Linked DNA regions of Sus scrofa. The protein of the gene in region 2 purifies or fractionates together with the protein of the main gene of each other region. This does not show direct contact. Links are inferred from orthologs where the notes say so. Each region holds a gene or a part of one and is shown on either strand. Other genes may lie near its edges.

Region 1 (5,831 bases), on a different chromosome or scaffold from region 2:
CTGACTTTACAGCAGCGAGAGGGAGTGGAGTGGGTGGGGGTGGGAAGAGAACCAGATGGATTAATTTGCTGGTCTCAACCAGTTCAGAAACAAGATTATTTGGCCGTGACGGGCTGATCTTCAGCCTAAGTAAGCTACTTCAGATGCGTAAGCCTAGTTGAATTTTAAACCCCAGCAAAACATTCCTCCCTGTAAATGTAAAATCTCACCCAACTCGATCCCCTGCCTTCCTCTCCCTCCCACCTTAGATGAGCAACTGCCTGTTTCCACCCCTTCCCACTGCCTCTCCTCTCTGGGACTGGCTGACACCTTAGAAAGGTTAACGCCTTCTTTGACTGCCCATCATAGTGTATCTGTGCCACTCAGCACAGAACCAACTAGGCTTATCTCAGCGGGTTCCCAGGTTTACAAGACTGCAGGAAACCTCCTAAGGAGAGGAGAGCAGGTGGGCATGTCCCCAGCTGCTAGAAAGGGTGGGAAAGCGTCCTCATTGGATAGGGAGTGTCCTGGGAAACCCCCTCGGTTCCTTCACGTGTCTTGGAACTCAGCTCCTGGGTCTCAAGAGTGGTCCCTGGAAAGGGTGTGTGTGTGTGTGTGTGTGTGTGTGTGTGTGTGTGTGTGTGTGTGTGTGTGTGTGTGTGTGTGTGTGTGTGTGTGTGTGTGTGTGTGTGTGTGTGTGTGTGTGTGTGTGTGTGTGTGTGTGTGTGTGTGTGTGTGTGTGTGTGTGTGTGTGTGTGTGTGTGTGTGTGTGTGTGTGTGTGTGTGTGTGTATTTCAGGTTGTGGCCATTAGCTCTAGGACTCTTATTTTTCTGGCCATGGGCTCAGCTTCTTAGAAGTTCCGCTGTTTCCTCTCTGAAAGACCAAATCTAACTAATATAACCAGCAACTTGGGGGCTGCCAATATGGCTTCACCCCTGCCATTGGAAAGGAGGGAGTGTATGGGGCAAATTCAGGTGGATGCAGTATGTGTGTATGTATGCATGTGAGTGTGTGCGGTACCAGATATCTCTACAGAATGGAAATAAAACAAACTTATCAACGTCTTGATTGGTGTATTTTGGGGGTGGTTCTGGGCCTTAGTAAACTGAGAAGCACTAGCTGATATAGTGACAGACTAAAAGAATGTGTCCTGTGTGCCAGGTGCTGTTAAACGTTGAACTTCCTTTGCTTCTCATAGCAACCCCATGAGTAAGGTTCCATTATGTCATTTTTGTTTGAGAAATGAGAAGCAGGCTTGGAGCAGATGAGGAGTCTGCTGAAAACCAAGCAGTGACAGAATACGTACCCCTCCCCCCATCTTCCCGGGAGCTGATCACAGCCTCCAAGCTAAGAATCTCTGTCCTAGAGCATTTACAGTTCCACTGCAAAAATCTCTACGTAGGACTGTGTCATAGTCAGCAATCAGTATATTCAGACAAGCCGAACTCTAATCCTGCCTTCACCACTTGAGGGGCACTGGGGAATTTTCTTAACTCCTCTGTGCTTCCAGTCACCTCAATCAATTAAATGGCAGTGACAACCCCTAGGTGACTACTGAAGAGTAAACAACACATCTAAAGTGTTTTGTGGGAGTTCCCGTTGTGGCACAGCGGAAATAAATCTGGCTAGTATCCAGGACCATGCGGGTTCCATCCCTGGCCTGGCTCGGTGGGGTCGGGGATCTCGCGTTGCTGTGGCCTGCTGTGTAGGCTGCCCGTTGTAGCTCTAATTAGACCCCTAGCCTGGGAACTTCCATATGCCACACAGGCGGGGCCTAAAAACCATAAATTAAATAGTGTTTTGCCCAGTTTTTGGGCCCTTGCACCGGAAACGATTACCTTGAAAGGCGTAAACAAAGCTAATCACTGGTGCCCTCTAATCTCCCCTTTCAGCCATTAGACACAGAAGAGTCTCGCTGGCGACACCCACCTCACCAACTTCCCGCACTTTTCCCTCCACTCTCCCGGCCTCCAAAGCCCTTCTCAGGAGCTGCCCCTTGGAAGTATTTGTCAAGTTCCTAACTTCTCTACAATTGGAGCTATTAATAACCACCTACATCCACAGATTACAGTGTCGTTTCCATTAAACGAGCGTGGAGGCCCTGCAGGTGCACCGCTCAAAGAACGAAAGCGAAACCGCGCCACCTGCTAAAGCGGCTGCTGCAACCGGACCTCCCGCGCGCAGGCGCCCCAGCTCCCGGGCCACGCCCCCTACTCGGTCCAAGCCAGCCAATGGGAGGCGGCGGCCAGGAGGGCTCAAGACTTCAGAAGGGCCCTCAGCCTCCCTTCACAGGTCCGCGGACCGAGGAGCTTGACGTCACCAATGCGCGCCGGAAGTACGTAATCTGCGGAGCGCTGCTCAACCTGAAGAAAGGAAGTTGGCCTGGAAGCGCCTGGGTAGTGTTGGCGAGGCCCCGGGCAGCCGCGGTGGCTGCTTTGACCAGTTGAGAGCGGCGAGATGGGAGACGAGATGGACGCCGTGATCCCCGAGCGGGAGATGAAGGTCAGACACTGGCCGGGGCCTCCCCCCCTTTCTTAGTTCAGGTGTTGCCTGCGAGACGCGAGTGTCGGCTGCCCCGCCCCCCGCCTGCAGCTCGAACTGTTTGCCGGGCTCACGGTTCTCACCAACGCGTCCTGGAGAGCTCTGCCGTGCCGCCGGCGTAAAAGCCCCACTGAATGCAGTTTTGCCGCCCTAGTTGGTCTTGTCTGAGCTTCTTGAGTTATCCTAACTACGCTTTTTTTTTTGGCCGCGCTCGCGGCTTGCGGAAGTTTTTGGTCCAGGGATCGAACCCGAGCTGCTGCAGTGACAACTCTGGATCCTTTAACCGCTAGACCACAAGGGAACTCTTCTCCTACCTACTCTAATGTGGTGGTCGGAGTAGTGGTCATAACCACTGTGTATCGAGCGTTTGCTTTATGCCAGGCACTGATAATTATCACAGCAACTTACGAAGTGCTTGTTAATATAGAGTAGCAAGTTGAGGCTCAGAAAGTAACTTGCCCAAAGCCTCATTTGACAAGCGTGCAGAAATTTAGGTGTTTGTCGTTAGTGTTTTCAAGACCCTCTCTCAGGTGCCAGTACTTCTGTAAGGTGGTCCAGGCTTGCCCGTTCATCACTGAACCTTGTAAGAGCTTTAGTTAACTGGAACTGGAGGACTCTTTTGGTCCTGGAAATCAACCTGAAGTCAGAACACTTGAGCGGGCCAGCTGAGCCAAATGATGAGAGGGAATTCACAAGAAAACAGGACTGTGTTGTAGGAAGACTTTAGGTATCTGAACAACTAATCACTGAAGTGCATTTAAAGCGTAGTAATCCATACCATGTTTAGAGCTGTGATGCTCTCTTTCTCCTTGAGAATCACTGCCCTGGATGAGCCACCCAGTGAGTGTGCCATGTTCCTCAGATATGCTGGGGCAGAAGGATGAAGAGGTTTAAGAACAACCACCTTCCTGGGTTACTGGTTACAAGACCCAAGTAGGGGAGTTCCCGTCGGGGCCCAGTGGAAACAAATCCGATTAGGAACCATGAGGTTTCGGGTTTGATCCCTGGACTCACTTAGTGAGTTAAGGATCCGGCGTTGCTGTAACTGTGGTGTAGGCCAGCAGCTGTAGCCCCGATTGGACCCATAGCCTGGGAACCACCATATGCCACGAGTGCAGCCCTTAGAAGACAAAAGATAAAAGACAAAAACAAACCAAAAAGCCAAAACAAGACCCAGGTAGGATATTTGGGATTATCAGGATGAGAATTAACAAAAAGATTCACAATTTTGTGGTCTCACTTGGAAAGCCATGTGGATTTCTGATCCCTATACTTGGTTGAAATTAAGAAGAGTACTTCAAGAGTTCCCATCGTGGTGCAGGGGAAACCCGACTAGGAACCATGAGGTTGTGGGTTTGACCCCTGGCCTCGCTCAGTGGGTTCAGGATCTCGGCGTTGCCGGTGACTGTGGTATAGGTCACAGACACGGCTTGGATCTGGCGTTGCTGTGGCTGTGGTGTAGGCCGGCAGCTGTAGCTCTGAATCAACCCCTAGCCTGGGAACCTCCATATGCCTCAGGTGAGACCCTAAAAAGAAAGAAAGGCTGTCTTCACTTTTATACTTTTTGGAGTGTAAGCAAAAGAAGATTCACACTCTTTTCACTAAAACCTTCACTTAAAGCTGGATTAGAATTGAAGAAAGAAAAAAATAAAAACCGATATAGTATAACTTAATTATTGGCAAGCTTATATGGAACGCTTTTTACCAAGAGATGGTACATACTGAAAATTCTTTGAAAACAGATTGATAAAATCATGGGAGACTAGATGAGTCAGGCATTGACAGGAGGTTGAGGAAGGCTACCAGGCCCTGAGGCACTAAGGAGCATGAAAATGGAAGGAAGGGAAAACCAGAAGTGAGTAGGTGGGGGGTGGAGGTGGCGCTGGACGTGGCAGGGGTGATGGCGTAGTTGTGCAAAGGAAGCAGTGTTGTCAGGTGGCGCTTCAGCTTGGGCGGGTCAAGCCAAGCTGCTTACTGCCTGTGGCCGGGGTTCGGGCTTGGTTTTGGAGGGTCCTCATGGCATCTGGGCGTGTTGGGCCTCAACACCAAGGGTTTGACTGCACACATCCCCATCTGTGACGGGAGTTTTGTTTAGCAGGCATCTGATGCAGGTAAACCAGTTCTTGGGAGTTTGTTACCCTTCAGTGGTCACCTCCATGTATATTTGTTGAGTACTATACTGGTAATTTGAGTTTACAGGGTAGGAGGTCCTGTCATGGCTCAGCAGTTAACAAACCTGACTGGCATCCATGCGGACGCAGGTTCGAACCCTGGCCTTGTTCAGTGGGTTGAGGATCTGGCGTTGCCGTGAACTGTGGTGAAGGTCTCAGATGCGGCTCGGATCCTGTGTTGCTGTGGCTCAAGTGTAGGCCGGCGGCTACAGCTCTCATTAGACCCCTAGCCTGGGAACCTCCGTATTTTGTGGATACAGCCCTAGAAAAGACAAAAAGACAAATAAATAAGCTAGGAATTCAGAAAAGGGAAAGATCAGTGTTCACTGGGTTAGTCAAGAAAAGCTTCATGAGTTTTTAAAAATTTATTTTATTCAATAAATACTAATAAGCACTATGCCAGGTACCACAATGTCATAGGAAGATTAAAAACGCGCAGAGTTCCCTCATGGCTCAGTGGGTTAAGGATCCTGCAGTGGCTCAGGTCCCTGCTGTGGTGTGGGTTTGATCCCTGGCCTAGGAACTTCCACATGCTGCAGGCATGGCCCAAAGAAGACTGAGCTACACAGTACTTAGCCTCAGGGTAACATGTATTTTGTCGTACTGGAATATAGTGACAGGTGATTTAATTTCCTATTTACTTGAATTGATCTTGTTTTGACCCCTCACCACAGGATTTTCAGTTTAGAGCACTGAAGAAGGTGAGAATCTTTGACTCCCCTGAGGAGCTGCCGAAGGAACGCTCAAGTCTACTTGCCGTGTCCAACAAGTATGGCCTGGTCTTTGCCGGTGGAGCCAGTGGGTTGCAGATTTTTCCTACCAAAAATCTTCTTATTCAGAATAAACCTGGCGATGATCCCAATAAGATAGGTAAGTTACTTAATTTATGGTGCATTGTAAAGAGAGGAGTCGTGCAGTGCTAATGCCATTTGCTTCCGAAGAAGTCATCCTCCCAGTACAATTAAAACTGCTGTTAGTCCTGAGATTGACCCCCAGGAAGAGTAAGTTCTGGGTAGGCTGCTGGAAGCTTTTCTGGGAGTTCCGTTTGATTCTTCGTGTATCTCTTTTGATGAGTTGTTCCTTGCTTTTAGTTTTTGCTCAGTTGAACTTGCTCCGGCTTTCTCCCGGAAGAGTTGTGT
Region 2 (5,218 bases):
TCCTTGGTTCCCCAGAATCTCTTATTCTCTTATTATTTTCTTTTCTTCATAGCACATACTTAAATTAATGTTGGTGTTCGGTGTCTGTCACCACTACTAGAATACATGTGTTTCACGAGGGCAGAGACCATGGCTGTCTCTTGGCTGCTTTGCATGTCTGTATACTCAGTGTCCAGCAGGGTGCTTACGAGTCACTCGGTAAATATTTGATGAATAAGATAAAGGGAAGTATCTAGACTGATTCTCAGGTTTCTACCTGGGATGACAGTAGATGTGGTGCCTTTCAGAAAAATGGGTCAGAGGAGGAAGAGACATGTTAAAGGGGGCACCTGGAAGCTTCTGTTCCAAAGCACTTCCACGTGGAGAAGCCCAGGAGGTAGCTGGACATGTGGGTCCGAGCTGGGAGTGGTCTGGGCTAGGACAGCCGGGATGTGGCAGTTGTCAGCACTGCAGCCAGGACTCTGCTGGAGGCTCCCCGGGAAAGGCCTGAGTGAGCAGAGGTGACCTGAGCAGAGAGTGGAGGATGAGGAGCCCAGCCCAGAAGGAAACTTGAGTCAAGGCTGCCAGAGAACCTGAGGAATCTGCGGGGGAGATGCCAGGGAGGGCCTTTCAAAGAGGAGGCAGCGGGCAGCAGCAGAGCAGCGCAGAGCAGTAGAGTCCGGATCCGGCACACAGGGTTCACTGAGAACCAGGGGGGAGCGGTTTTAGGGGAGAGGATAGCCTGGGTTGAAGATGAATGGGGAAGAAGGCAATAAAATCTCATTTAGATCTATTTCAAAGACAGATGCACAGCATTGCTTAGGAGTGAATACGTGTATAGATGGGAAAGCTATAAAATGGAGCGAGAATGTATCATAAACACTACAATTGTCATTATTTCTCTGGCAAGTGGGAGCTTTTCTTCTTTCTTGTCTTTTCTAAGGCTGCACCCACGGCATATAGAGGTTCCCAGGCTAGGGGTCTAATTGGAGCTGTAGCGGGGGGCCTACACCACAGCCACAGCAGTGCGGGATCCGGACGGTGTATGCGACCTACACCACAGTTCATGGCAATGTTGGATCCTTAACCCACTGAGTGAGGCCAGAGGATCGAACCTGCAACCTCATTGTTCCAGTCATGATTCATTAACCACTGAGCCACGAGGGGAACTCCTGGAAGCTTTGATCAGGGGGGTCACAAGCGAGATCTTAGGTCCCCGCACTGTTCTCATTCTCCACCTGGACAGTGGTGACAGGATGTGTATGGGAACCCCCCTGTAGGTAGATCTCACACCAAAAATATAAAAAATGTAACCTCCTGGGAGTTCCCAATGTGGCCCAGCAGTAATGAACCCAGCTAGTATCAATGAGGATATGGGTTCTATCCCCGGGTTAAGGATCCTGCGTTGCTATGGCTGTGGGGTAAGCCGGCAGCTTACAGGTCTGATTCAGCCCCTAGCCTGAGAGCCTCCATATGCCATGGGTGCGGCCCTAAAAAGCCAAAAAAAAAAAAAAAAAAACCACCCTCCCCTCTGTAAATAAAAGTGAATGAGAGACGTGGAGGGACCGTGCTGCAGGCTACTGTTGACAGACTGCTGGTTCTAAAGGGAAGGGAGAAGGACTAGGTCGGGGAGAGCTTGAAATGTCTGGTAGGGAGGCTTTGGGATGGAAGAGATGCGGGCTTGTTTATAAGCCCAGGGAAACTAGACAGTGGCGGGATCTCTTGGAGGAGGTGAGAGAGGGCATCGTCCTGGGGCAGAAAGGAGCTTGCGGGGAGGCGCGGGTGGGTGGGCTGGCCGGCCGGAAAGAGTTCTTGTCTGGGGCCCTCGGTTTTCAGTCTCTTCAGTGACCTGAGAACCAAGACGAGGAGGAGCAAGCTGTGCAGTAAGTCCTGTGACGTAGGGGTTGGCTCTGTTGAATTTCCTTTTTCTCATTTATTTTTCATCTTTGGCTTTGTTAAAATTTTTTTTTTAATGATTTATTTATTTATTTTGTCTTTTTGCCGATTCTTGGGCTGCTCCCTCGGCATATGGAGTTTCCCAGGCTAGGGGTTGAATTGGAGCTATAGCTGCCAGCCTACGCCAGAGCCACAGCAACGCTGGATCTGAGCGGCGTCTGCAACCTACACCACAGCTCACGGCAATGCCAGAACCTTGACCCACTGAGCAAGGGCAGGGATCGAACCTGCAACCTCATGGTTCCTAGTTGGATTTGTTAACCACTGCGCCACGACGGGAACTCCTCTGTTAAATTTTGAATGTGAGAAAGACACTAACGTCCCCTCGCCAGTTTCTGAGCCCTCAGTCTGGGTCGGGTGCTTGGCTCAGTGTACAGTGGCTTCATCATGTCCCTGTAACTGCTGAGGTGACAGCGAGCACCGTGAAGCTGTGGGTCCTTGGTGACACAAGTCACGTGACAGCTTTTTTCAGGTTTCCAAGTCAATGCCGTGAGGTGGCTGCACTCATCTTGTTTCCGAGGCAACAGTGAGCCTAGGCCTGAGGCCACAGCTTTGCTGTTGGAGCCACTGCTTTCACTACTTCCTGGTTTAACTGTGCCTGTGTGTTCTTCCAGGGAGCCAGCTCCGATTCGAGGATTCTGGATTGTTCCCGACATTCTGGGGCCGACGATGATCTGCATCACCAGTAACTACGAGTGCCTCACAAGGCCCCTGCTGTATGTCCCCCTTGTAACACTTGTTGACTCTGCCCAGTTTGGGCCGGGAAGATGCCCTCCGCAACTGACCTAAAGATACATGGTTCACACTGGCTTCTGATTGGAGGGTTGGAAGGGTGGTTATTTCTGTTGCTCCTGCCACCTCTGGAAGGGTTTATTTTAGGCCGAATTTCCAGCATCTCCTCTGGGAAGCCGAGAGTCAAGGCCTTTACTTCCAAGTGCAGAAAGAATACTAAAATTGAATACTGAACTCCGTTATCAATGAGTTAGAGTTAATTATTTCAAAATTTAACTATGTGCCAGGCTCAGAAGTAAGCCTGCATTGCCTCCTGTAATCAGAGCAACCCTTGTAAGGACAGCACTTGTCACCCTCATTTTGTAGAAGAGGCAACAGGCGAGAGGGAGGTGCCGAGGCCCCAGGTAACACGTGGACCTGGGCTGCAAATACAGGGCTTCCGACGTGAGAGTCCGTACTCTGACTCTCCGCTTCTCCATCTCTGCCAGCCTCTTGGGGCTGTCATAGACTGTGTTAACTCTGGAAGAAGGTGGAATAAACCGAACCCATAGGCCTTGTTCCTCTTGAGGAACCGTATTAAGCTATAAGACCATTTTTCAGCAGTCCTGGAAGGTCATCCTCTGGGTTTTATAAATGAAGAAATAGGAGTCTAACAAACCCCTGGAGTACTTACTGGAACACTCCCGCCGCTGTGTCTCGGTGTCAGCTGAAAGCATGTGCTTCTAGATATTAACATTGTTCCAAATTCTGGCATTAATTCACCCTCCTTAAAATTTCCAAACTCTTTGAAAAGTGACAAGTTATACAATTTGGAAAGGAAAATAATTATCAATTCTGTGCTATTTATGCTACAAGAAACTCAAAACCAGCAAGACTAAATGAAAGTATTAAAATCACTACAAAAAACTGCCTTTTGCCTCAACATGGTTTTTTAAAACTTCTCCTAACTCTTATAAAATAAGACCTAGTCATCCTAGGATACTTGAGGATAAAAACATAAATCCCAAAGGGGGGGAAAAACGTTTAAATATTCGTTATCTAGAAGTCATGTTTCTGCCAACTCCCTGAAATACAATTTGTCTATAAAGTAATGTTGCTGTTTTAACAAACTCCCAGATTTGAATTATTGCCCAGTCACCGACTTAGCATTCTGTTGAAGTTTGCAGTCTTTGATTCAAGCTTTCTGAAATTGCCAGTGAGTTTATTTGTAACACTTTGTAGTTTCTTATAGTCTCAGAATTCTGGATAAATGTAACTTATGCTCTTCTCTAATGCTGACAGCAAGTAACTCCATGGTAATAAACTTTATTTATTTTGCAGAAGCACAGTCCATTCAGCGTCTCCTCCCCTGCTTTGTACCCGAGATGATGTGGAGGTTGCAGAGTCTCCCCTCCGCATTCTGGCTGAAACCCCGGATTCTTTTGAAAAACATATTAGAAGCATTTTGCAACGTAGTGTTGCAAATCCAGCATTTCTGAAGTACGGGATTTGGGGCATTTAGGTGTTTAAAACTGGCTCCCTTCTGTTTTCATATACTGTTCATCCTCTCTGTCCTCAGCTTTTTCATTTCGTATACTTTTTACTGTGTTGAAGTTGGGAGAAAGGGCGTATGTAATTAGGAAGGGAGACTAGAGGTGTGGAGGCGCTGGAGAAGGATAATCAGGACAGGTTAAAAAGTGGCAATGTCTGAGTTTTCAGTTGTTTGACTCAGCTAAGGAAATGATGGTAGGATTTTTTTTTTAAAAGATCGTCTGAGAAAGATACGGCTCCTCCTCCTGAAGAATGTCTTCAGCTCATCAGCAGAGCCACCCAGGTGTTCAGGGAACAGTACATTCTTAAGCAGGACCTGGCGAAGGAGGAGATTCAGCGGAGGTAGGACGGCCTTTGTTCACTCACCGGTCAGGCTCTGGCTGGTGACTGACGCTGTATCACGGCCAAGACCGGCTTCTGATTAAATTGCCTTTTGTTCTTCAAGGGTCAAACTGTTATGTGACCAAAAAAGGAAACAACTCGAAGATCTCAGTTATTGTCGAGAGGAGAGGTACGTGCCAGAGCTCGGGGTGGGGAACAGCTGAGTCAGACTGGAACCGTATCTTGCTCTGAGATACAGAACCAGCTTAGTTGGCGTCACCATCCATTTTTTATGCCACTAGGAAAAGTCTACGGGAAATGGCTGAGCGCTTAGCTGACAAATACGAGGAAGCCAAAGAGAAACAAGAAGATATCATGAACAGGTCAGTGGGCTTGCCACGCTGAGTTCCCGAGCAGGCACCACGAGTGGTAAGTGCTCGGGTCCTGAGAGCGTGCGGTCCTCCCTCTGAAGTATCCTTGCGGGGGGTGGCGCGGTGGTGCTTCCCCCACACCCGTCCTATGGGGGCCTCCTTCAGAGACACCACGGTCCCGAATGAGGAGCTTTGGTCAGCATCATGTTCCTGCTAAGGAGCCACGATCTGAAGCCGAGATGTTTGCTCACCTTTTCTAAAGGATGAAGAAAGTACTTCACAGTTTTCACTCTCAGCTCCCAGTTCTCTCTGACAGTGAGAGAGACATG
Region 3 (5,746 bases), on a different chromosome or scaffold from region 2:
CCGGGAGCAGGGACCAGGGGCTTCTCAGTCAGCATACACCACAAGCAACTGGCAACATGACTCCCATACCCAGTTAAGTTCGTCTGCAGTTGTTAAAAAGCATTCTACCTGGCCGTCCTCAAAACCCCATAATCTCCACCTACGAGCAAAACCAAATGGAGAGACAGTCCGTAGAGCACCCAACCCATACTCTTCAAGACCATCGAGATCCTGAGACAAGGCAAGTCTGAAAAAGCCTCCGCAGACAGACCAGAGGCAGCCAAGGAGACGCGACCACTAAGTGTAACGTGGCATCCTGGGGGGATCCTGGAACAGAGGAGGGGCGTTGGGGAACAAGTGGCCAAATCCGAGGACCAGGTGGAGTTGAGGCGATAGAAAGGGGCTGATGTTGACTCCAGTGTTGTGACAAGTGCGCCATGGCAATGTAAAGGCACCGACTTCTACTCCTCTGCACGGCCTTCACAGCTTTTCTATAAATCTACAATTATTCCAAAATAAAAAGTTTATTCAAAGAAAAATACTCTGCCTAGTCCACCCGTCATGACCTAGAAGGTCTTTTCAAGAGAAGAGTGGGGGGACTGTGCCCCCTCGTTGCCAACAGCCTGCCCAAGAGTCGACCCTAATCCTACCTGCTATGGCTCAAGTACCTACACTGAGGAGGGCAAGGAGAAGGAGGTCCTTACTTCTCACTTAAAAGGCCTTTGAAAGCACTACGGCTTAGCAATGGAGAAAACATATCCACCTCCGTAACAACAGAAACCGCTTATGTAGCACCTGATGTGTGCCAGGAACTAGGCTATGAGCAGGTGGCCTGGATTTACTCATTTAAATATCAGACAACACTAAGAAGGAGGCACTACGGACAGCCACTTACATCTGTATGTTTCTAGTCACTAAACTCCTGGCACTTTCTGTATGTTTCTAGTCACTAAACTCCTGGCACTTTCTAGTCACTTTTATCCTGGCACTATTTTTTTTTTTTTTTTTGGTTGCGCCCACAAAACTTCCCGACCAGGGACCAAACCCTCACCAAGTAATAACCAGAGCCACAGAGGTAACACCAGATCCCCAACCTGCTAGGCCACCAGAGGACTTCTGTTCTGGCACTATTAATGGAAACCGAGGCACAGCGAAACTGCCAGGAAGCTAATAAGTGGGGTATAGTCAGGGTGTGAATCCAACAACTTGCCTCCAGAGTCTGTGCTCTTAACTACTACTCCATGCCGCCTAGGTAATAATGTGGCCCCAAAGGACAAGTGCTCAAATACTGGCACAGTGGACAGGAAGTACTCTAAGGGAACGGGGTCAGATCCCAAAAAGGGCTTCCTGTAGGAAGAGCAGCCTGTACTGGGTATGTAATATATCAAATGATCAGTATAATTAACACTGCTGTATGTTACATATCAAAGTTATTAAGAGAATAAACCCAGAGTTCCCTTTGTGACTCAGTGGTTAACGAACCAGACTAGGATCCATGAAGATGCAGGTTCGATCCATGGCCCTGCTCAGTGGATTAAGGATCTGGTGTTGCTGTGAGCTGTGATGCAGGTCACAGATGTGGCTGGGATCCTGCATAGCTATGGCTGTGGCTGTGGCGTAGGCTGACAGCTGTAGCTCCATTTCAACCCCTAGCCTGGGAACTTCCATATGCCTCAGATGTGGCCCTAAAAAGCAAAAAAAAAAAAAAAAAAAAAAGAGAGAGAGAGAGAGAGAATAAACCCTTCCATATGTCATACCTTTGGCTCGGATCTGATTCCTGGCCTGTGAACTCATATGCCATGGAGTTGCCAAAGAAAAAAAGAAATATGTATTTTTTCTAAGTATCTATTTATTTACTTTTTTGGGTCTTTTTCGGGGCTGCACCTAAGGCATATGGAGGTTCCAGGCTAGGGGTCGAATCGGAGCTACAGGTGCCGGCTTACGCCACAGCAGCACCAGATCCAAGCCACATCTGCGACCTACACTACCGCTCATGGCAACGCTGGATCCTTATCCCAGTGAGCAAGACCAGGGATTGAACATGCATCCTCATGGATGCTAGTCAGATTCGTTTCCGCTGCACCACAATGGGAACTCCCTATTTCTATATCTTTAATTTCACATCTACAGGAAATGATAAATGTTCACTAAACTTATGGGTAATCAAATTGTTATACTGTACACCTTAAATTTATAAAGTTTAATTATATCTTGAGTAAAACTGGAAAAAAAAAAAGCACATGCACATGGAACAAAACAAAAGAGGCCCATGTATCATTCCAGGTAACTCAAGATCTGGGTCTCCCACCTTTGGATCTTGACTCAGTCTCATAACCACCACCAAAGTCCTGAAAAGTTGTACTCCAGGTGTAACGTCTAGATGTGGATGAATGGGGGAGGAGAGGGGCTTGCAGCAAAGACCCTCGTCTACGGGGTCTGGTGGAAGGCCCTGTGTAATGGGAGGGACTGGCCAGGAAGCCCCATCTCTTTCAGCAAATGGAACTACAGATCTCCCTAAGTCTGGCAAAGGTGGAAAACTGATCTGGGGGTGAGGGTGGGGTGCACGGAGGTAGAAAACCATTTGAAAGGACGTCTAGGTGAGGGGCAGGGACAGAAGAATGAACCAACGGGCCTGAAAGGCGTGCTAAGGATAAGGGCTAAGGGGAAGCCAGCAGGGGATGGACACGAGAGTCTGGGCAATGATGCCTTGCTCCCGGCAGCAGGATGGGGCTGAGCGTCCATCGTTTGAAATGGGGGAGGGCAGGGATGCTAGAGCGAAGGAGACACAAGAATGATCTATTAGCAGGTGTTGGATGGTCGAGTCTGGGGCTCTGGCCAGGGGAGTTGGAAGGGGTGAGACTGGTCCCCAGAGGTCCTTGTTATGGATAATAAAAGCGGTTGGACCAGGCATGAAGGAGGGCTGGTTTCACAGACACCGACTGCACGGATTTTCACAAACGACCCCACTAGGAAGAGGTGATTATTCTCATTTTACAGGTAGTTCCCTATCTACGAGGCTAGAGAATTTAAATTATTTGCCCAAGGCCACCCGCGCCCGTCTGCGATTTGAATGGAGCGCGGTCTGTGACTCAAACCAGATCCTAAGCCACAACAAGGGTTCTCAGAGTGCCGTGGCAGTTGAAGAGATCAGCACGTGGCTGGCCGGAAATTCGTGAAGCAAGAGAAAGGAAAGGAGAAATGAACTCGTGCAGGGATCGGGGAAGAGGTGAGGCTGAACCACCAGAATGAGAGGGAACAGAAAGCCGGACCCCGGATCAGAAGGAGAAAGGGGCCCCACCCGAGTGGGGGTGGTCCAGGGGGTCGGGAGCAAAGCAGGGCCAGATCCTCAGGTCAGAGGAAGGGGAGGGCTGAACGCCCTGGTCGGAAGTGGGGGACAGTCCCCGGGATCCCCGAGGGCTAGAGGCCAAGCCCGCCTCCCGGTTGGGGCAGCGCGGGGCGGGGCGCGGAAGGATCCGGGCACGCCGTGCTGCGCCGCCCCCGGTATATCTGTCCCCAGTCCCCCGGGCCGCCTCATTCCCCATCCTCAGATCACAATCTCTCCTCACAGTACCGCGACACCTCCTCCGCCCGCGTAGCTCCAGCCATGGCTCTGTAGCCGCGACCCCTCTGTGCCCCCGGCCAGTCGCCGTGCTCACCGCGCCTGCGCTCTCCGCTCCTGCCGTCTTTCTTCAGCTGAGGCCACCGCCGCCTCTTCTTTCCGCAGCCATGGAGTGAGTAACCGCTCGCTCGCCCCTCCCTCTCCAACCGTCTTTCCCGCCCTTTCCAAGCTCGCGGCCCTCACCACCGGGCTCGGGGGGGTGGGGAGACAAGAGTGAGGAATCACGGTCGCGCAGGCGCAGAAGAGACAAGACGCTCCGTTTGCGCGCTGCGGAGCATGCGCACTCAGCTGATGGGGGGAGGGTGCGTTCTTCCAGACAATGTTGGCGTTTAAAGACGACCACATGCGTTTGCGCCTGCGCACTAGCTCCCAGAGAGGGTGGGTTTCCCCCCTCCTCCCCGCTCTGATTGAGTCTGTCAATCAGCGATTGCTCAGATCCACCGGCGCTTGTATCTCGGAGCAAAGGGCTGACGAGCAGCAGCCGCACGTGCGCAGCACTGATCCCGAGGAGGGCGGAGCCTTGCGGGGGCAATAGGACAGCTCTGGGGCTGGAGCCTGCGCTTTGGCCCTCGGCGAGACAGCCGTGTACGGGGGTGGGGGGAGGGGGAGTCGGGAGCTGTTCTCATCCCGCCCCCCTCCACCCTCCGCCTCCCTCCAGTTTGCTCAGGCGTAAAAGCACGTCTTCCCTCCCTTTCTTTCAAGCAACTACGGGGGCGGGGGCGGGGGGAGAAGGCGGGGCTTAGAAACGACCAGTTAAGGGACGGGAGCTAGGATAAGAGACGTCGCGGAGGGTGGGGCGGGGGCGGGGTACCCTTTGGGAGAAGGGGCGTGGCTAAGCGCGCCGTGCGCTGAGGGGGTGGGGTTTATATTGAGAAAGAGGCGGGGCCTCTGGGAATCGTCGGGGAGGGTGGAGCTAATAAACCAGGGGGCAGGGCTTGGGGGGACGGGAGACCACTGCAAAATTCGAAGGGAAGAATGGGATTTGAATGGAGGATTTTGATGAAGGGGCGGGGCAGGGGGATTCCCCTGGGAACAGATTCACAGCAGGAATCTAGGGACAGGGTGGGGCCTAAAGGATATGTTTTAGGGCAAGAGGTGTGGCTGGAAGAAAATTCCCCTGGGATTGAGGTTTTTGTGTTTTTTTTTTTTTTTTTTTTCCATGAGAGATAGTATTATGGGGTGGGTGGGAGGGTCTTAAGGTAATTCCCCTGGGACACCATTATGTTTCAATATTGGAAGGATTGGGTCTAGGGAATTCTGAGGAAAAGTAAGTCGGGGCCTAAAGAAAATTCCCTTGGGAATGGGTGGGGTCCCCATTTGAGGAAAGAAAGGGCAGATGTAGAATTCCCAAAAGGTAAGGAATCCTGGGGACCTGAGGGGGTATCGCTTGGTTTCCCCATGGCCTTGGCCGTTGGCGAGGCTGGCCCCTAACCCACTCACTTTTGTCTCCCACTCGTAGGTCCTCCACTCTCGCCTTGGTGCCCGTCTTCGCCCAGCTGAGTAATCTCCAGAGCCTCCTGCCAGCTGTTGGTGCAGCCTCCTTCATTGCCATCTGTGCCCCGCACCCGAGCTGCAGCCATGTCACTCCTGGCGACCCTGGGGCTGGAGCTGGACAGGACCCTGCTCCCAGCTAGCGGGCTGGGCTGGCTCGTAGACTATGGGAAACTCCCCCTGGCCCCTGCCCCCCTGGGCCCCTATGAGGTCCTTGGGGGAGCCCTGGAGGGCGGGCTTCCAGGGGGGGGAGAGCCCCTGGCAGGTAAGGGTAGGCAAAGAATGGAGGTGGAGTCATGGAGTGAGCTGGGGTCAGGGGGCAGGGGAGAAGAAGAATTCATTCATTCGTGTATTTATTCCTTCAATAAATATTTCCTGAGCACCTATAATATGTCAGGCACTGTTAGGTGCTGGGGATACAGCTGGGAACAAGACCGACGTGGTGCCTACCCTTTTGGCGCTCACACTCTACTGGGGACAGACAAGAGACAAATGACGATGTGTGGGGATAAGCAGGAAACAGTAGCTGAGCTCAAAAGCGACAGCGAGGACTAGTTTACAGTGGGGAGCTGGGACACCCTTTCCAAGGCAGTAACATTTTGGCTGAGGCTTAAAAAATGGTACGGGAGTTCCCGTCGTGGCGCAGTGGTTAACGAA
Region 4 (5,688 bases), on a different chromosome or scaffold from region 2:
TTTATACAGATGAAGCTCAAATGGCTGTTTCCCCCCCTTCCTAAGTAGGGTCTTCTATTTCAATAAAAGCTCGCTTTCCCTCATTTCATGTTACCTTTATTTTTAAGATACGAAAATTACATGTGGGTGGTATAAAAGTTTTCCTATATATAGAAGAAATATAGTAAGTACCCTTAACCTCTGCAAAATTCAAGTTTCTGCCCTCAATTAAACCATCTATATTTGTTTCTTTTATCTTTGAATGAATTTGAAGATTAAAATTAAAGTGTACAAACTCCTTGACTATATACAGTCTTAAAAAAACCTTTTTGGTAATACATCAAACAAAACATTTTTTAAATTTCCAGGTATTCACTGGCAAAGCATATGGCTGTAAAAGCTTGCCAACTGTTTCCCAAACAAAAACAAACTTTATCATAAGAGAAAAATGAACTTCTTCACCTCAAATAATGTACTGGCCAAAACCTACTGGGGTTCATATGCAATGTTACCCTTTTAAGAGGACGCAACTCTAATGTGCTGGCACACTTTCACATTTTTGTTGCCCAGTATTATAAAAATCTTTCCTTTTACTTTTTCTTCAAAGCCAGAGCCACTTATGTCTGATTGGCTATATCAGTACTCCTCAACGTTTTTTGGGTCAAGATGCCTCACAATCAGAGGAACAGGATAGCTCTTGCCAAATTAAAAAATTTGAAAACTTTTCATACAACTGCAGATGATTCAGGACACCCTGAAAGCCACGCCTCAGGTTAAGTACCCTTGGTTTACTGTACTTAGATCCAACAAGGTCAGATGGTCATCTCTACTTCTCCCCCACTTAACCTTTCCAGATCAGGAAATGAGTGGTTAATTTGATTACCTTATGTTTGGACAAACTAGCTTGATAGGAAAAGGGCACTATTTCTTGGCTATTTTACTACGGTTTAAAAATATTCTTAAAAATGGCAGTAATTTCAACTCGAATGTCTTAATGATAATGTCAGTTACGACAAAGTAAAAGTCGGAAAGATCAATCAGATAAAATATAAGATATAATGTAAAAATTGAGAAATTAAGAGTTTAAGGACTTTCATTCAAGTTTTTTGATCCATTGACAACAAAACTGATGAGATTTCAAAAATTTCTACCAGCAGTTACTACCTAACATAATCTTTGACCTAAATATTAATACAAAAAAGGAAATATATATTTCACAAATTAAAGCGTTAAATCTCTCCCCTTCAAGTGTCATGTAATTTTAAAGGATCAGAACAATCTTAAAAATTGAGCCTGAAAAGCAATGTCCACGAAGAATCAAGATCTACATATCAAATGTTCTATGGGGGGGAGTTAATTAAAAACTGAACGAACTTTTCTCCTATTTAGTCCTATCATAATGTAATAGCCAAAACAAAAAATAAAGTAACTATAAAAAGTTTCATTTTCAAGTACATTGTCTTTACAGAGTTCAAGACAAATCCTGTGAAAAAGCAGGTTTAGAATAGAAGCTTCTGTTAAATACAGCAGGGTATGCCACCCTTAGAACTAGCGCCTATCTTCGAAATGACCTACCTAGTCTTAAACTGTACGTAGTACAGAAATGGCGGCTTTCTGGTCAATGCCAAGCACATTTAGTCTCCCAAATTAAATAGCTTCCAAAACATTCTTTCCACCAACAGCAGTGTCCAACGCGCTTAAGATACACAATCAAGCAGATAGCAAAACAGCCAAAGCGGGAGGTGAAAGAAACCACAAAAGCTTTCTCCGTTCCTTGGGACACTCAATGCTAAATTCCACTCACTGCACAGCAAATACAAGGTACTGTCCAGCCATGTGGTGACTCTACAAGTGACTACCAAAATACCTTCACAGCCACTTCAAACTGGCAGCTACACACTGCCAGCTCCCATCCAAAAGCCAAAAAATCATAACCGTTGCTTAATGATAACTACATAGTAGGTCAAAAAACAAGTCGCTACAAGGAGAAAGACTGCTACTTTAGGTGTGTGGGCAATTGCCTGCTTCATTCAGTAGAAACACACCTCACTAAGGCCCGCCCTCCCCTCTCTTCCCACCCGAACCGATCCGCAGCACTTCTAACTATAGCATACTGGAGCACGCACTCACCCCGCCCATACTCGGAGGAGGCATTTAGACCAGGCGCCTGAAGTTCACCGCCCCATTCTCAATGCAGCATGGCCTCTGCGTGATCAGAGGTCCGTGCTGGGCAGATCTTTAATGCTTCCTCTAGTACACCGCTTCCTTCCACCCACCCCAAACTCAGACATCGGAATGAAGCAGAATCAGGATATTGTCCACTGTACAGCGCCAGCAGTAAACGTTTTGATCACTTAACACACTCAAGTCCGTGAAAGCAAAACTACAGCATGGAACCTCACCTGCAGATTCCCCCCCCCCAAAAAAACCAAATAACCTTCCCTACTTTTAATCCTACTTTGCAAAAACCCAAAGATTCTGAGTTTCCCTGCAGGAGGAGCAGGCATCAGCCCCTCCCTCCCGCGATCCCAAGCTCTCCACCGAGGGGCCACGTGATGCAGGCGGACGTTTCAATGCTGCTGCACTAAATATTTCTGGAAACTTCCACTCCTAATAATTTCCTGAGATGTTCCTGAAATCACCCTAACTTCTCCCCGGCCCCTTGGGCTGGGGAAGCCCTTCCACTCCCGCGCCGGGCCCCACTTCACTATCACGCTCCTTGCCTTCCTCCACCGCTACCCGCACACGCGAATGACCCAAGCAAGCGCTCCCCTCCCGCGGCCGCCTCCCCGCCTCCATCCCCCAGCGGCAGAAGCGGCTCCATTCAATCGCAGGCTGTGCTGTGGGCCCGCCGCCGCCTCCCCGGCTCGTCTCCCGCGGCCGCCGCCGCGCCCCACACCAGCCTCCTCCCGCCCGGCCGCGCCGCCGCCCGACCCTCGGCCCCGAAGACACAGTCGACTTACCCAGAGATTGAACCAACTGCTTCTTCCTTCCTTGTCGGGGGATTAGGGCGAGGGAAGATGGGGAGGGGGGGAAGAGGGGAGGAAATCAAGGTGGGTTTCACAGTTTCCCCACCTTAAAAAAAGAAATTAAAAAAAAAACGAAGGCGATAAGGGCAAAAAAAAAAAAAAAAGCTCAATATTTACTATCTCAGGGACACCTCCCCCCGACACACACACCCACCCTCCCCCCCAAAAAAAGAAGGGGAATTAATATGTGGAATAAATGCTCCCGCCTGGCTGGGGCGTGAGGGAAGGGGGAGGGGAACCGGGTCAGGTCCCAAAGATTCAGCCCCAGGGGGACCCTCCAGCCACAGGCGGCAGCAGGAGCGGCAGGAGTAGGGGGTGTAGAGTCCACACGGTCGGGGGACGCTCTGCTGCCAGTTACAGTCCGACTCCCCCCTACCAAAATACGGCTCCCTCTCTCACGCGGCTCCGGTGCTGGGCCCCCCCCACCCAGGCTCGCCTAAACTTTCCCCCCTTCTCTTGCTCCTCAGCGACTGGTGGTTCCCCCCTCCCCCTCTGGGTGGTTGCACGGACTGCAGCAGCAAAGACTGGAACAGGCACCGCCGCCGGGGCTGTAGCTACTGTTGCTCTTGCTGATGCTGTAGCTCCCGCTGCTCCTGCCGCGGCCGCTGCAGCCGCTTCTCCCCCTCCTCCTAGTGCCTCAAACTCGGAACCGGTTGAAACCGGTTCAGACTGGGAGATTCCATCTCGGTTGAGTTTTCAGCCCATGGCGCCGCGGAGCGTTTGGAACCTGGGCCTCCGCCCCCAGTCCGCTTGCCCATTGGCCGCTTCCAGCCATAGCCGCGCCATCAGCCTACCTCCTATTGGTCATATCGCCCATCAATCTCTGCTCTAGGCTCCACACGAGCCCGCCGCTTCGGCCCCCGCCTCTTTCCAGCAGCGATTTGCCCGCAGAGTGGGGGAAGGGAAGTGGGGCGGGTCGCAAAGGAGCGAGGAGGGGGGGTGGAAGAGGAGAAGGTGGGACGAAGAGCTAAGCAGAGCAGAGTAGAGAGCGAAGAGAAGCCGCGCGGAAGATTGGTTCGAGAGGTCTGTCAATCAAATATAGCCCGCCCTCAACTTCCCGTCCTCCTCCCTCCGCTCCCCCTCCCAGGGCTTAGCCCGCAGGCCCGGCCTTTCCGGCCCGTTCATTGGCTGGGCGCCTTTGGTGACGAAGCGGGTGGGGCGCAGCTCGTGAGCTGGTGGAGGCGCGAGTTTAAGCGCGGCGCGCGGCCGCCTGCGTCCGCTCGGCTACTCCCGGACTCGCGTTGGTCGGCCCCCGCCGGCTCCCGCCTAGCTGCAGGGCCTTAACCCGCAGTGGTCGGGACCTGTCCCCCACCCATCGGATGGGGGCTGTGCAAAAACTAGGGCACACCCAGTTTTTTTTTAATCGGAGAGGGGCGGGGTGGAAAAAAGGAGCGAAAACAACACAACGGAGGCCAGTCGTAGGCCCCAGACCGGGTTTGGGGCCGAGATGTTGAGAGGTTGGGGTGAGGTATGGGGCACGCTCCCTTGGCGCCTCTTACTCCTCTCCGAGACGTGGGAAAGTTACCTAAGTAGTTCTTGGGCAAGTCTCCTTCAAATTTTAACTCGCCGTCTCCCCAGGTTGGAATTTGGCTGCTTCAACAACCAATTCTTCCTAAAAATTAAGACACTGTAATCCCTGTAATTGGTTTAACATCCTGTGCTTTTTGCTGGGTAAGCTTGAGTGCCAGCTGCCCTTGATCTTCCTTTACCTTCGCTTTTTCCTTTCGGGTAGTTACCCTTCACAAATTTCATCATCACCAAGTAGTATTTTCTATGAAAGTCACACGCACGTGGCCCTTCACATGGTTGTCTCTCTTGTCCGCAAGTGCCCTCCAAGTAAGCTTTACTGATTGTTCTTTGCTGAAGAAACAGCAAGCAGCCCACCAACATTTAGTAGGCCCATTGTGCCACCAAGAGGTTGATAAATGGTTTATTAAATCACAGTTTTCTTCAGCAAATTCTCACTTACAGTGGACAAAGGCTAATACCCAAACACTGCTTAAGAGTAACTCTCTCACCCTCCAATAGGTTTGCCAAAATGATGTTGGATTACTTTGAGACCTAAGATTTTTTATTCATTGCTTAGCTTGAATGGTATCAAACCAAACTGTATTATGTATGTGACGAATACACTGATCATCTGGAATACTTACATCCTATTACAGGACTGTCCTGTTTTTTAAAAAGTTTTTCCTCCACATTTTCAGCTCTTGCACCAGGCCACTGATTTTTTTAGATGCCAGAACAATGAATAAAAATCGACTGGTTTGTAAGACCTGGCTTTGCTGAGAATGTGACCTTGGGCAAGTCTCTTGACCTCTTTGGGCCTCAGTTTCCTTTTCACTCATTAATGAGACTCATATCATCCATGCCTGTCTCATCTGTATAGAGATCAAATGGGTGTGAAAGAGCAGTGTGGCCCATAAAGCACTAAATAGTCCCAGTTTTCTGTCCTCTTCTTTAGCTCTTCTCGTCTTTAAGTCATATCCCCTAGGAGATCATATCTCTCTGGACCATAGTTAATCAGATGTAAACATTTAGCCCATTATTTTTGCCTAGAGTTAGCCAAAATGGAGTATTCAATATAAACTTATTAACAAGCGCAAAATGAAGTGACTGGAGGAGATAATTCTGTATGATCACTGTGTTTTCAGAATCAATTTCAGAAAACATGTCTGAC

The links. Proteins that work in one complex are often made in the same cells at the same time.
Region 1: the proteins of NUP88 (region 2) and NUP214 purify together in Homo sapiens (affinity purification with mass spectrometry; 6 studies listed by BioGRID and IntAct, counting the BioPlex papers as one, with this or other methods). This does not show direct contact. The link is inferred for Sus scrofa from reciprocal best matches to the Homo sapiens genes NUP88 and NUP214.
Region 3: the proteins of NUP88 (region 2) and NUP62 purify together in Homo sapiens (co-immunoprecipitation; 4 studies listed by BioGRID and IntAct, counting the BioPlex papers as one, with this or other methods). This does not show direct contact. The link is inferred for Sus scrofa from reciprocal best matches to the Homo sapiens genes NUP88 and NUP62.
Region 4: the proteins of NUP88 (region 2) and XPO1 purify together in Homo sapiens (affinity purification with mass spectrometry; 3 studies listed by BioGRID and IntAct, with this or other methods). This does not show direct contact. The link is inferred for Sus scrofa from reciprocal best matches to the Homo sapiens genes NUP88 and XPO1.

Annotation. Positions count from the first base shown.
Region 1 is NC_010443.5:271,101,763-271,107,593, forward strand, and holds the start of NUP214 (nuclear pore complex protein Nup214), read left to right. Parts: upstream 1-2,075; 5' UTR 2,076-2,437; coding exon 2,438-2,482; intron 2,483-5,366; coding exon 5,367-5,562; intron 5,563-5,831. UniProt on the Homo sapiens protein: Part of the nuclear pore complex. Has a critical role in nucleocytoplasmic transport.
Region 2 is NC_010454.4:51,595,747-51,600,964, forward strand, and holds part of NUP88 (nuclear pore complex protein Nup88), read left to right. Parts: intron 1-2,549; coding exon 2,550-2,651; intron 2,652-3,987; coding exon 3,988-4,146; intron 4,147-4,413; coding exon 4,414-4,539; intron 4,540-4,642; coding exon 4,643-4,708; intron 4,709-4,820; coding exon 4,821-4,901; exon of another isoform or gene 4,902-4,947; intron 4,948-5,151; coding exon 5,152-5,218. UniProt on the Homo sapiens protein: Component of nuclear pore complex.
Region 3 is NC_010448.4:54,941,950-54,947,695, forward strand, and holds the start of NUP62 (nuclear pore glycoprotein p62), read right to left. Parts: upstream 3,757-5,746; 5' UTR 3,636-3,756; exon of another isoform or gene 3,432-3,635; intron 3,206-3,431; exon of another isoform or gene 3,118-3,205; intron 1-3,117. Other genes in the region: ATF5 (cyclic AMP-dependent transcription factor ATF-5), read left to right, coding at 5,177-5,354. UniProt on the Homo sapiens protein: Essential component of the nuclear pore complex. The N-terminal is probably involved in nucleocytoplasmic transport.
Region 4 is NC_010445.4:80,253,084-80,258,771, reverse strand, and holds the start of XPO1 (exportin-1), read right to left. Parts: upstream 3,757-5,688; 5' UTR 2,943-3,756; intron 1-2,942. UniProt on the Homo sapiens protein: Mediates the nuclear export of cellular proteins (cargos) bearing a leucine-rich nuclear export signal (NES) and of RNAs.